2 linked regions of the Coturnix japonica genome follow. The protein of the gene in region 1 interacts with the protein of each later gene in a pairwise test. Links are inferred from orthologs where the notes say so. Each region holds a gene or a part of one and is shown on either strand. Other genes may lie near its edges.

Region 1 (5,710 bases):
CACTAGGATAAGAAGATTAAACCAATGCTCAGCTTTTAGTCTTTCCATCCCTCCCCAAAATAAGCAATAAATTAAGTGAATCCCATCCCATCCCCTCAGCTGATGCTCTGTGCCCAACCCCTGGATTTCAGTGATGAAAAAGACTAAATGACAGACTGTGTCAGAAAATAGCCTGGATGCTATTCCAGCCATCAGAAGGCCCAGCACATTGGGCACCCAGCACCTGTAGGCAGGAGGACACCCACCTCTTCTGCACGATGAGGTTGATGTTGCGCAGAGCCACGTACTGCAGCTCGGGCTCAGCAGACAGCAGGGTGACAAGCGGCGGGGCCAGCTTCTTCAGCAGTGTACCATAGTAGTCCAGGTCCTTGGACAGCATCTCCATGAACTTCATCAGCACCTTCACTGCTGAGAGCACCACCGCAGAGTTGGCGTGGGACAGCCGGGGTGTCACCCGCTCACAGATGCTGCAGGGGGTGAGGGCAAAGGAAAAGGGAAGAGTCAGAGCCAGGCATCCTACTTGGAACTCCAAGGAATGAGGTGTTGGCAGGGTTTGTTACAAAGCAGACAGCCTGCACTTGAGGTTTGCCCCCAAAAGATGCAGAGCTGGCTCTTAGAGGCTCCTGATAATGGTTATTTCCCAGTAAAGCCCCATCTGCAGTGGGATCTCCCTGGTGCCCAGGCTGCTCTCCCTTGATGCACGTTAAGATCATGACTGGAGAAGTCTGTTCCTTGTGTCAGTGTGGGGACAGCACTAAGAGACTGTGAGTCCCCAGGAACAGTGCTGTGCTGATGTCAGCTGCTCCTCCCCCAGCTGCAGGAAGCCAAGGGTGGGGAGCAGTGCAGAAGGGAAGTGTGAAGGCACTTCTTGGAAGGGAACAGGCTGCGTCAGCCCCGTCCAGCCATCACCCTGCCGTCCTGCCCCACCACCTCCCTCACCTCTGGGCCTCCCGGTCATCCTTGGGCATGTAGTTGGCCAGGCAGTCCAGGATGAAGATCTGTCCCCATTCAGTGCACTCGTTCAGGGCTGTGAGCAGCTTGTTGATGGACTGGGGGTTGAGGTCCAGCAGGTTACTGCTCGGGTGCGACTCTGCAATCTCCGACAGCGCTGCTACTGCATTAGCCACTACCTGCCAGAGGAGATGGGACACGTGTGAAGGGACAGCGAGCACAATGGGATGGCAGTTGTGGTTCTGGAGAAAAGCTGCTGCAAGCAGATGAGATGCGTCCTCAGTGTGGGGCCCTTGCTCTGACATCTGGGCACCAGCTTCTCCTCCACACAAGCTGATGTGCAGATGAGCTATCAGCACACATCACCACCACCCACACTGTGACTCTTCCCCCATCACTACTTGGCAGTTTGGGTGGGCAAATCCTACAGCCCTGTGCTCCTCCTGTCCCCTCCCGGCAGTCACCCTCAGCAGGGAAACAGCAGAGAGCCACCACCACATCAGTGCAAGCTGGTGTGAGAAGCCAAACATGCAGCATCACAGCATTCCCAGCCAGCAAATCCTGTTTGATGCCTTTCCTGCTCCCCATAGGGTGCAGAAGCTAATAACAAAGGGGAAATAATGAGATCTCACATCTAAAAGCAGCCAGGAGACGGTTATTGGACAAGAAAAGCAACCCCAGGGACAGCCACCCCCAAAAGCAATCTGACAAGCAGCAAAAAGCATCAAGAAATGAAGAGGAACGTGGGAGCAAGGATACAGGGCTGCAAAAACAAAGGAGGGCATCTGCTGCACCAGACAGGGAAAGCAAGGTCTGATCACCATGGGGTTGGAGTCCGAGATGAGATCCTTGAGGGTGTCCAGGAAGCCCTGGTCCTCCACCAGCTGGGCATTGATGTCATGGAGCTTGGCCACGCAGACGGCCGCTGTCTTGCGCACATACGGGTCCTCATCCTTCAGGCACTTGCGCAGGGGCTCACACAGGTACTCTGTTATCTTGTCCACACGGATGCAGCCCATGGTCCGCACGGCCAGGGCACGGATCAGAGGGTTTGGGTCCTCACAGTCCTGCAGGGCCAGAGGGGACAGTGAGAGCTCCAGCCCCTCCAACCACAGCCATCAGCAGCAGCTTCAGGACCTTGACTTTAATTCGGGTTCCTGAAGTCCTGAGGTTATTTGCATTCAGCTCCTGAGTGGAGTGAGTGCATCCCACAGAAGGAGTTCAGTCTCATTCCACTGAATTCTAACACTGTTAGAGCAGCTCCTGTTCCAAACACACCACAGAACCAGGCGTGTGCCCGGCTTACACCAGGGACACAACCCACCCAGCACCCCCCAGAACAGCCACCCGGCCTGGGGAACACAACCAGCACAATCACTGTTGTTGTTTTTTCCTTTTAAAAACACCAAAACTTCCTGGAAAGCCTCCCCACAAAAGGATCTGGTGGCCCAGGGGCTTCCAACAGACACACTCCCCAGCTCCTGCCCACAAAAGAAAGACCACGTTCTCTGCAGCAAGCTCAACAGGGGGCATCTCCAACACCACAAACATTTTACTCTTGCACCATGGGGCAAATTTGCTCTTATCCCATGCAAGGGGAGCCCTGATTTGCTGAGGGAAAGCCTTGGGCAGCTGCTTGCCCTCCCTTCGGTGGCAGGAGGCCAAAGTGCCGCCCCACAGTCCCTTCCCCTCACCTTCACAAAGGTGTTGACAGCCATGATGGCCATGTCAGGCTGGCTCTTGGCGTAGTTCATCAGGTAGAGGTAGACCAGCTTCTTCAGCTCCAGGTTGTCTGTCTGCATGCAGTTCACCACGTCCGGGAAGAGAGCGCTGAAATGTGAAGCACCGCAGATCTCAGGGCAAGTGACTGGGGTGTTAACACAGACATGATGCCCTGCTGGTGTGTGCCCCTTTTATCCTGGGAGAGCCACCAAACCCCATTTAACCCGGCCTTGAGCACCTCCTGGAATGGGGCACCCAGTGCCAGGGTCTCACCACCTTCTAAGTACAGAATTTCCACCTAACGCCTCACCTAAGCTTCCCCTTCTCTTTGTTTAAAGTCATTCCCACTTGCCCTATCGCTGTACAAAGTCACCCTCTCCCTCTTTTATAAGCTCCCTTTAAATACTGAAAGGCTGCAAGGGGACCCCTCCTCTTCCCTAGACCGAGCTGGCAACCTAGAAGGTATCCTCCATCCCAGATGACTCCACAACCCCACAATACAACCCTACAACCAGCCTGTGCTCACAAGCTCACAACCAGGCCTAAGCAGCCCATTGTGCTGGGTCTGAAGCACAAACCCCGGGGCAAAACCAGCTTTGGTGACTATTCCCCCCCTGCCCTGCAGCCCGTGGGACAGGAGGCCGGACACACCTGACGTCCTTGCCGACAGTCATGGATGCGATCACCTTCTTCACCGCCTCCTTCTTCTTCTCCTTCTTGTCGCTGTTCAGCTCTGCCTTCAGCTCGAAGATCTCCCCTATAGGGGAGGCAGGGGGTCAGCAGGGAGGTTCTAAGGGGGTCTGTGGGTGTCAGACCCCCACTTATGGGCCCCAATGGGATCACAGAGCCCGGCCCGGCCCAGCACAGCGCGGCCCAACCTCCCCCTGTGTGTGTATACAAACACTGTCCCATCTCTCCCTATGGTAAGGGCCGCCCCCTCACAGCCCCGTGCCCCCCCCAGGCCTCCCCGCAGCCCCCTCACCCTTCTTGGTGGTGGTGAAGTACTTGGAGTCCGTCATGGTGCCGCCGCGTTCCCTGCCGGGAGATGCACGTAACCATTAACAGACCACGTTCATTTTAACCCCCTAAACCTCTCGGTTCCCCCCCCCCCCCCCCGGTTCCGCCGCCCCCGGCCCGAACCTGCCACCGCACCGAGCGCTGCCCCCGGCCCAGAGGAAGTGAGGAGAGAGAGCTTCCGGGGAGGGGATACGGGGGAGGGGGCGGAGCTACGGGATGGGGGTGGGATGGAGCGGGGACAGCGCGTGGGGACACGGGGATAATGGGGTGGATATGGGGGGGGATGTGGGATGGGGACGTGGAACAGGGGTGTAGTGTGGGAGAAGGGATGGGAGGTGGGAAGTGGGCGGAGGAAAGGGGGTGGGGTGGGATAAGGGAAGGGATGGGGATGGGACAGCGGGTGGGAATGGGGGGACGAGGAATGGGAACGGGATAGAGGGGGCTGGGTCACATGTAGGGGCATGGGATTGGGAAGGGGGAGACGGGGGGTGAGGGACGGGATAGCACATGGGGACAGGAGTGGGGACATGGGGTGTGGGCAGAGGATGGGGTGGGATGGGCGAGGAGAGGGTGGGGACAGGGGACAGGGGTAGGGGAGGCACCGGGACAAGGGAAGGGATGGGGATGTGGACAAAGCGCAGGGACACGGGATGGGACGGAAAAGCGGCAGGGATGGGACAAGGGATGGGGCGGGGAGCGGCAACAGGGGATGGGAGTGCTATATGGGGGAGATGGGGTGCGGACAGAGCTTGGGGGCAGCGGATGGGAAAAGGCAGAGGGCAGGGGGACGTGGCACGGGGATGGAGAACGTGGGACAGAGGGACACGATGCTGGAGGGCAGAAGCACACGCTGTGTCATCCTCCTGGAACCACAGCAGCACTGGGGCCACCTCGCAGCCCCTCCGCGCACTGACAGCCGTATGGCCACTCCAGAGCGGCCCCGCGGGTTTGGCTGCTCTGCAGAGCTGCATCCCAGCGCTGCCCGGCACTGCAGCAGCTCCGTGCGCCAACGCTCCAACCCTCAGCACCGCGCAGTGTGGGCGGGGGGAGGGAAAAAAGAAAGTGATGAGTAGGGAGGATGCGATGCGCAGGACAGCGGGCTGTCAAGGTCAGCACACGGGGACCCCGCAGCCCAACGTGCAGCAGCTGCGGCCCCACCACCAGCCCACCTCCAGGGTCCCCCGGCAGGGTGTTGAGTGGCTGGGATGAGACATGAGACCGCATAGATGGGGTGGTCAGAGAGTGCTGACTGGCTGAGGAGACGGCAAGGCACCAGATCGAGTGGTCCCCGGGTGCTGGTGGAGTGGGTGCTCTTTGGGTACCAATACTGGGTGCTCCACGAGTTCAGATACTGGGTGCTGGCATTAGGTACGTGTGGATACCAACACTGGGTGCTCCATGGGTGCTGACATTGGGTGCTGACATTGTACATGTGGATGCCAACACTGAGTGCTGTCGTTGGGCGTTGGCACTGTGCTCCATGGATGTCAGCACTGGCTGCTCAATGGATGCCCACACCAGGTGCTCCATGGACTCCAGCACTGGATGCCCCATGTGCCAGTTGCTCAAGCAAGAGGGTGATGGCTGCACCGTGGGTTTCTCTCCTGGTTCCTACCCCCCTGCTCACCCGAAGACAACCGTAGAGCAGCCCACACCCTACACCCCACAGCGCTGCCCAGGGTCCCGTCCCAAAGGATGGGGGCCCCATTGCAGTGCAGATCCTCCAGCACAGAAGAGCTCTCGACCCCTACCTGAGGTAGAGATGAGGCCCCGTGGGAGCCTATGGCCTCGTGGGGCGGCCCCACTCCCTCCCGTGGGGTTCCCATCGTCTCCTCAGGGTCCCTCTTCCACCTTGAGGCCCGGCTCCCGGACCCCCCACCCAACGCCTTCAGGGCTGCGGCTGCTCGAGGCGGTGCCGCTGCCGGTGCCCGTCACCGACCCCGTGCCGGTGGAGAGGCGGGGCGGCCCCGACAGCCCCTATAAAGCCGGCGGCGGCGGCAGTGGTGCCGCAGTGAGGGCG
Region 2 (5,978 bases), on another chromosome or scaffold:
GCTTCTTATTGGTATGAATATTTTTGTAGCTGTATTTTTCACTGAAGAGCACACAAGACACATGCAAATAGATATCTGCATGTCCAATTGAATGAGTTGTTTTTCCAGGGCGTTGCAGATTTAAAGCTCTCATCTTCAGTATCCCTCCACCTGAGCAAGGAGAGAATCTGAAGCTACAAGTGTAGCCAACTACTTTCTCTCACCTTCTTCATCACCCCAGAGCTCAGTACTTTGAAACCGTTTTATCTCTTAGTACCCATTTCAGTCGTAACACACGCACAGTAGATAGCAGCCTCCACCACAAAGGTGTCTATACATGCAAATCTTGAGGTGTTTTGATTTAAAAATAAACTTAGGAAAACAGATACTTTTGTGTTGGTGAGCATGATGCTCAATCATATAGTATCACTGACATTTCCTCCACTTTTTATGTAAATGCTAATAAAATTTCAAAATGCAATGTCACATAGCGATCTGTATCTTGGATGTAAGCACAGCCCAGAGCATCTTGCAGAACTGAATCAATTTGTTTGTAATAAATCAATTTTAAAGACCTCTTAAGATTAAAGACTATCTGATTAGGTTCTTTCACAGAAAACACAGGCTCCAGTAATCACATCGTCAGATAATAACAATTATACATATATTAGTTTTATACTCAAAATTTAACTGTGGTCAACGTGGTTGTGCTAGAATAATTATTTGCACATCTGCAAACACATCCGGGGTTATTTGGTTTCTGGTTCAGTTTTGGATGGTGGTAGAGTCTGTATGACCTTGGTAGAACGTCAGGCCTTTGGGGTTTCATAAAGCTTTTTGCTGGTCTTTTCTTTTGAGATGGTAGTGATGAACTCCTTTCCACTGAGACTTCTGACCACAGATCAAATGCCCCTCTTCTCTTGCAGCCAAGAATTTGCTATACTAGAACATACTCCCCTGGCTCTTATATCATTATTTCTTCTCCCTTTTACAGGGTTTTAAAAACCTGCTTTCCAACACTATGAGTTATATATATACACACCAGTTCTAACATCCAGGTCCATTGGAAGCTAATTATTTTTTCAGACTTGATGATTCTGTCCGGCACATTAAGAGGATATTTCTGTACAAGTACAGATTGCTCTCTGGGCCGTCTAATGATCTTATGGGGCCCAGAGGACATAACTCTCTTACTATTGTGCTATAATGCCCAAGGTTTCGTGGAGACCAAAAGAGATATATTCTGCTACATTCATCCTGCCTAATAGATCTAGATATCTATTCCAGATAACAGCAAATATTCCTTCCCATAGCCAAAATCTCAGGTAGTCTCATAAGGACACTTCTGTTTCTCATTAGCTAATATCATCGTTTTTATTTAATCTTGCAGTGATGCAGTTTTCCAGTGAGAAGTGGAAAATAGAGATAGAAGGGATTATTCTCTGCCCCATCTGTTGGATGTTCTCTCCTTCCCAATAGCATCCAAGCTTCGCAGAACTCAATTTCTGCAGAGCCATTCCAGACGTTATACTATATTTTGAGCCAGCGCTTCCTTCCTTTGGTGTCCTTATAGTATACAGCCATAAACAGGATGCCTCATTTCAACATCTTTCTCAGTTGAACCACATACTTACGATGCATTTCATAACAAACCTAATTCCTGACGTCTACTTCCATGGGCAAGAAATCTGTGCATGCCAGCACTTTCCCTAAGAAAGCAAATTAATTACATTATTATAAATTAACAGAATTGTATCAGAAGCTTCTGCTAGTGATGTTCTCCAGATAGTTGGCTCTATTTGGATAAGTCTCTCACCACGCTGAGTGCATGTCTCATATTTCTTTTCAGCATTCCTGTGACCAGTGGCCATTCAGGGGCAACAGGACTGACATTCGTGCTCATCTGCTCACAGCTCTTCTGAGCTGCTTTGCAGGGCTCATCTGGCTGGTGTGGTGTGCAGCAGCGTCAGTCATTTTTACCTCTTTTCGTAAGGCCTGCTGTTTCTCAGTGCAACTATCTGCCTATCCATCGTGTTTTGTTTAGCCCATCCTCCCTGCAGTAGTTTAGACAGAATAATCCTGGCTGGATTTTAGCCTGCCTTCAGTAAGCAACATGATGCAGATATCAGTGATTTTGCAACTTGGATTCCAGCCATTTAGTTGCACTAGAAAACAGGGCTCGAAAGACAGGGAAATATTTTGCTGAAGCTAAGGAAACACTTCTGGCAAGAGGATGAGGCTTTAACGAGACAGTTGAAATAAAAGCCCTCCTGAGATCATAAGGCTGCTGCGGTTTATCTCAACAGTTTTCCTGGCTTATCCATTAAAAGCGAGGCCGTCCTCGGAGCGCTGGGTACAGGCGTTACTGTTTGTAATGCTTTTCCCTGATGTGAGCAGACAAGTTTGCGAGCAGACACAACTCCTTCCTGCCCTATTTGGGCAGCCACTTGGCAAAACCCGCAGGTCGCTGTCTGTGAGAAGCAGATTTGGCACTTCACAGATTTGGGATGTAACCGTGGTGCCCCTCTGGCTCAAGAATCCCCAGCTGTGACCCTCAGGAAGGCACACACCACCTCACCCTCACAAAGGGAGAACAGGACAGCCCTACAGCCGCCCCACAGCCACTGAGGGGGCGGGGATGGCGGGACGGCCCCGCCTCCATCATCAGGCGCCGGGAGGGCGGCTTGAGGGCAAGGCGCAGTGCCCGGCTTCCCCGTCGCTCCCTGCGCAAGCGCCGCTCCTCCCTCCATTTCGCCGCCGCGGGGCGCTGCTCTGCCTTTCCTCCTTCAGCTCCCCGTCCTTCGGTGTAGGGCTGAGGAGAGGCGTGGTAGCTCGGATCTCCGAGTGTTTCCGATGCTGTTCGGCGCCTCCCCGCCGCGCTTGAAGATGGCGGCTGGGATTGGCGGGGCGGCGGCGGCAGTTATGCAAACGATGCCGTCGGCAGGCAGCGCCAGAGCCGGCTGAGCGGGGAGGCGACTGGGGCTGCGCCGCCGTCCGTCCTCCGCCTCCCTCTCCTCCTCCTTCTCCCCTTCCTCCCCGCCCCCCCCGGCCCCTGCCTCGCCCCGGCCCGGCATGGACGTTGGCGCTGCGCGGTGCCGCTGAGCGGGGCCGCCCGGCGCAGACGGGGGGGGGGAAAGATGTCGGACACTAAAGTGAAGGTGGCCGTTAGGGTCCGGCCCATGAACAGGAGAGGTAAGCGGGGATCCGGGCGGGTGTGGGGAGGGGGAAGCACGCCCGCCCTCCCCCCCCCTTCCCCCGACTTCAACCCCGTGCCGCCTCTCCTTGCAGAGCTGGAGCTGAACACCAAGTGCGTGGTGGAGATGGAGGGCAACCAGACCGTGCTGCACCCGCCGCCTTCCAACAGCAAGCAGGGAGAAAGGTAAACGCCGTGCCCGGCTGTGGAGGGGGGTGGTGGATCGCTGCCCCTTGGGGAGGTGCGCCGAGAGCGGGCGGTGAGGAGCTGGGGCTGGGAAACAGCCTGTGAGAACGAGCGAAAATAGTCCCGAAATCTGGCGTGTAGTTGTGATGCCCCGGTAAAGAATACCCTTGGAAGTAAGCCAAAAATACCAATGCACCAGACTGTAAAAATAGATCAGAACAGGAAAAGATTTCTTTCCTTTGAGGGAGCGTGGGGAGGTGCGGGAGTGTGGTGTTGTGTGCTTATCTCTTCTGTGTTACCTGTTGACAGCCCCGCTTCGTTCAGCTGTTAAATATTTGCGATGCTATGGAGCGTGGATTCATTTTTGTGGTTATTGAGGTTTTCATCTGAACAAATCCTTACTGTTCAGGATGTCATTAAGAATATATTTGAGTTTGTAATAGCAATGAAGAAACTAGTGTGAGGAGATAAATATATTTCTTTCAAAGGCAACGTTTCAATAGTTTTCCAGCAGTAAAGGTCTGGACCTTCTTGTTCTTTGTTGCCGGAGATGTGAAGGCCCCTCTCACGTGAGTCTGAATACAGGAATATAGCTGCGATCGTGCCAGTTCAACTGAAATCCTACTCATGTAGTTTTTAGGATCATTTTATAGCTGGTGTGTTGGCCTGAGTCTTGAGAGAGCAGTGCTTGTTCCCAGCTCATTTCAAAGATCTTTGTGTGACCTGCGATTTGCACTACCTCTGTGTAACATCACTTCTGTAAAATGGGGATCTTGGTTCTCTTGAGACTATTTTGGAAAGTATGTTTTTGTAATTGTTTATTGAACTGCGTGTGTGTTGTTTGCCACAACACTGCTATAGTCAAATCTGCTCGCTTTAAAGAGTTAATGCTATTCTTACAATGAGGCAGTGAGACAGTGGAACAGGTTGCCCAGTGAGGTTGTGAATACCCCCTCTCTGGAAGCATTCAAGGTTAGGTTGGATGGTGCTTTGAGCAATCTGGTCCAGAGGTGTCCCTGCCTATAGCAGGGGGTTGGAACTAGAGGATCTTACAGCTCCCTTCCAACCCAAACCATTCTATGAATGCCTGTAACAAATGTAAGCTCTTCTTACCTGATCTGAACTGGCTTCTGGTTGTGTCAAGACTCGGAGTTGGCTGGCTGCTAAACATTTGACTTGTGTGTTGGAAGGAAGCAACTGCCTGACGTGAGAGGATTGGAAATGCTAGTACTCAGAAGTAACTCACTGATGCAAAAATATAGCTTGGGTATGTTTTAAATGACAGGTGTTGCTGGAAGGCTGTAGCGCCTTGTGGAAATCTGTACTTTTTGGTTCATTTTTTAGCTGTTCGTTTTTGATAAGGAGTTCAATTCCCACGTTGAAAAAAGAATTCCATTCTTCTTCCCCGCGTACCCAAATGAAGTGTCTATATAGACTGACTCTGAATTGCTGAGTAGCTGTTGCTTGTACTTGGATGGGTGCCTTGGCAGGGTTAGAGATGTCAAATGGATTTTTGGTTTTCTTTGTGTAGCTTGTTTTTACATAGCTCAACTGGATTTATTTCTTTCAGAGTAACTGTGTCATTGCAAAAATGATTTCCCTTGCTTGTGTGATTAGCCAGTTTTCATGCTAGGTTGTGTGATTTTAATATTGCTTGGTGTTAACTTTTGACTTTTATACTTTTTTTGTGTGTTTTGTTGGTTTTTGTTTTGAGGAATAGAAGTATGAGCTTGTGCTGTGCTTTGGAATTAGGAAAAGTGGTCTTCTGAAGAAAACTTGGTTTCCAGGGCTGCTTTTCTTAGTTGAGCTGAAGCTGAGAAACTATAGTGTGGGGGTGAGGAGGGGTGGAAATCAGGACCCTGCTCTTTGTTTGCTTTGTTCTCTATTTGCTCAGTTGTAATTTTAAATGTATTGCCAGAATTTTCTAAAGCAAAATTAAGTGACGCTTTCATGGTTATAGGACATATTCTTCCAAAAGCAAGTTAAGATTAGAAATATCAGATTTAAGTAGTTCCACCTATTCTGCAAAGAGTTCTTGAATGAAATCCAAATTGAGATGCTTGCTGTTCATTAATATCTACAACTTATGAAGGATTCTTCTGAAGGATTTTAGTTGGGGAAAACTATGATCGTTTTGCAAGTGGTGAAAGAAGCCTGAAAGCCAAAATTGCTGTCATCTGTCCAACTTCCACTATTGTGTTAGTTATAAAGCAGTAACTCAGAACCATCAGTTAGGGTTCTGACTCCCTTTCCTTTTCCTAGACCGTACAGCATCCCTCCCTTAAGAAGCACAGCTTTGAGATAGTAATTGTTACTAAACTTTGTAAGCAGTGGGCCTTTCATTCTGCACAAATGGCTTTCTTAACTAACAGAGGAGAAACAAAACATAGTAAAACCTGACAGTCTGAGTCTGAAAGACACAGAAAAATCTTTACTGACTGTAGGAATAGTAGACAGAGGGTTCAGAAACAGTTTTCACTAGCAGGTTTCAGGTATATTCTCTGTTGCTAGCAAATATCTGTGCCTTTAGCCTTTGCTTTACTATTAATAGCAGCAGTTTCCTTTATGTCTGCCTTGAAGGTATTTCTATGGTGTTACCTCTTCATTCTTCCATCCATTT

The links. The genes of interacting proteins can lie anywhere in the genome.
Region 2: the proteins of AP1B1 (region 1) and KIF13A interact in binary tests that used the Homo sapiens proteins (3 or more experiments, as listed by UniProt). The link is inferred for Coturnix japonica from reciprocal best matches to the Homo sapiens genes AP1B1 and KIF13A.

What each region holds. Positions count from the first base shown.
Region 1 is NC_029530.1:9,936,551-9,942,260, reverse strand, and holds the start of AP1B1 (AP-1 complex subunit beta-1), read right to left. Parts: upstream 3,933-5,710; 5' UTR 3,814-3,932; intron 3,709-3,813; 5' UTR 3,693-3,708; coding exon 3,656-3,692; intron 3,431-3,655; coding exon 3,325-3,430; intron 2,782-3,324; coding exon 2,646-2,781; intron 2,019-2,645; coding exon 1,773-2,018; intron 1,131-1,772; coding exon 940-1,130; intron 468-939; coding exon 246-467; intron 1-245. Other genes in the region: NEFH (neurofilament heavy polypeptide), read left to right, coding at 5,171-5,710. UniProt on the Homo sapiens protein: Subunit of clathrin-associated adaptor protein complex 1 that plays a role in protein sorting in the late-Golgi/trans-Golgi network (TGN) and/or endosomes.
Region 2 is NC_029517.1:68,522,258-68,528,235, reverse strand, and holds the start of KIF13A (kinesin-like protein KIF13A), read left to right. Parts: upstream 1-2,689; 5' UTR 2,690-3,116; coding exon 3,117-3,171; intron 3,172-3,267; coding exon 3,268-3,358; intron 3,359-5,978. UniProt on the Homo sapiens protein: Plus end-directed microtubule-dependent motor protein involved in intracellular transport and regulating various processes such as mannose-6-phosphate receptor (M6PR) transport to the plasma membrane, endosomal sorting during melanosome biogenesis and cytokinesis.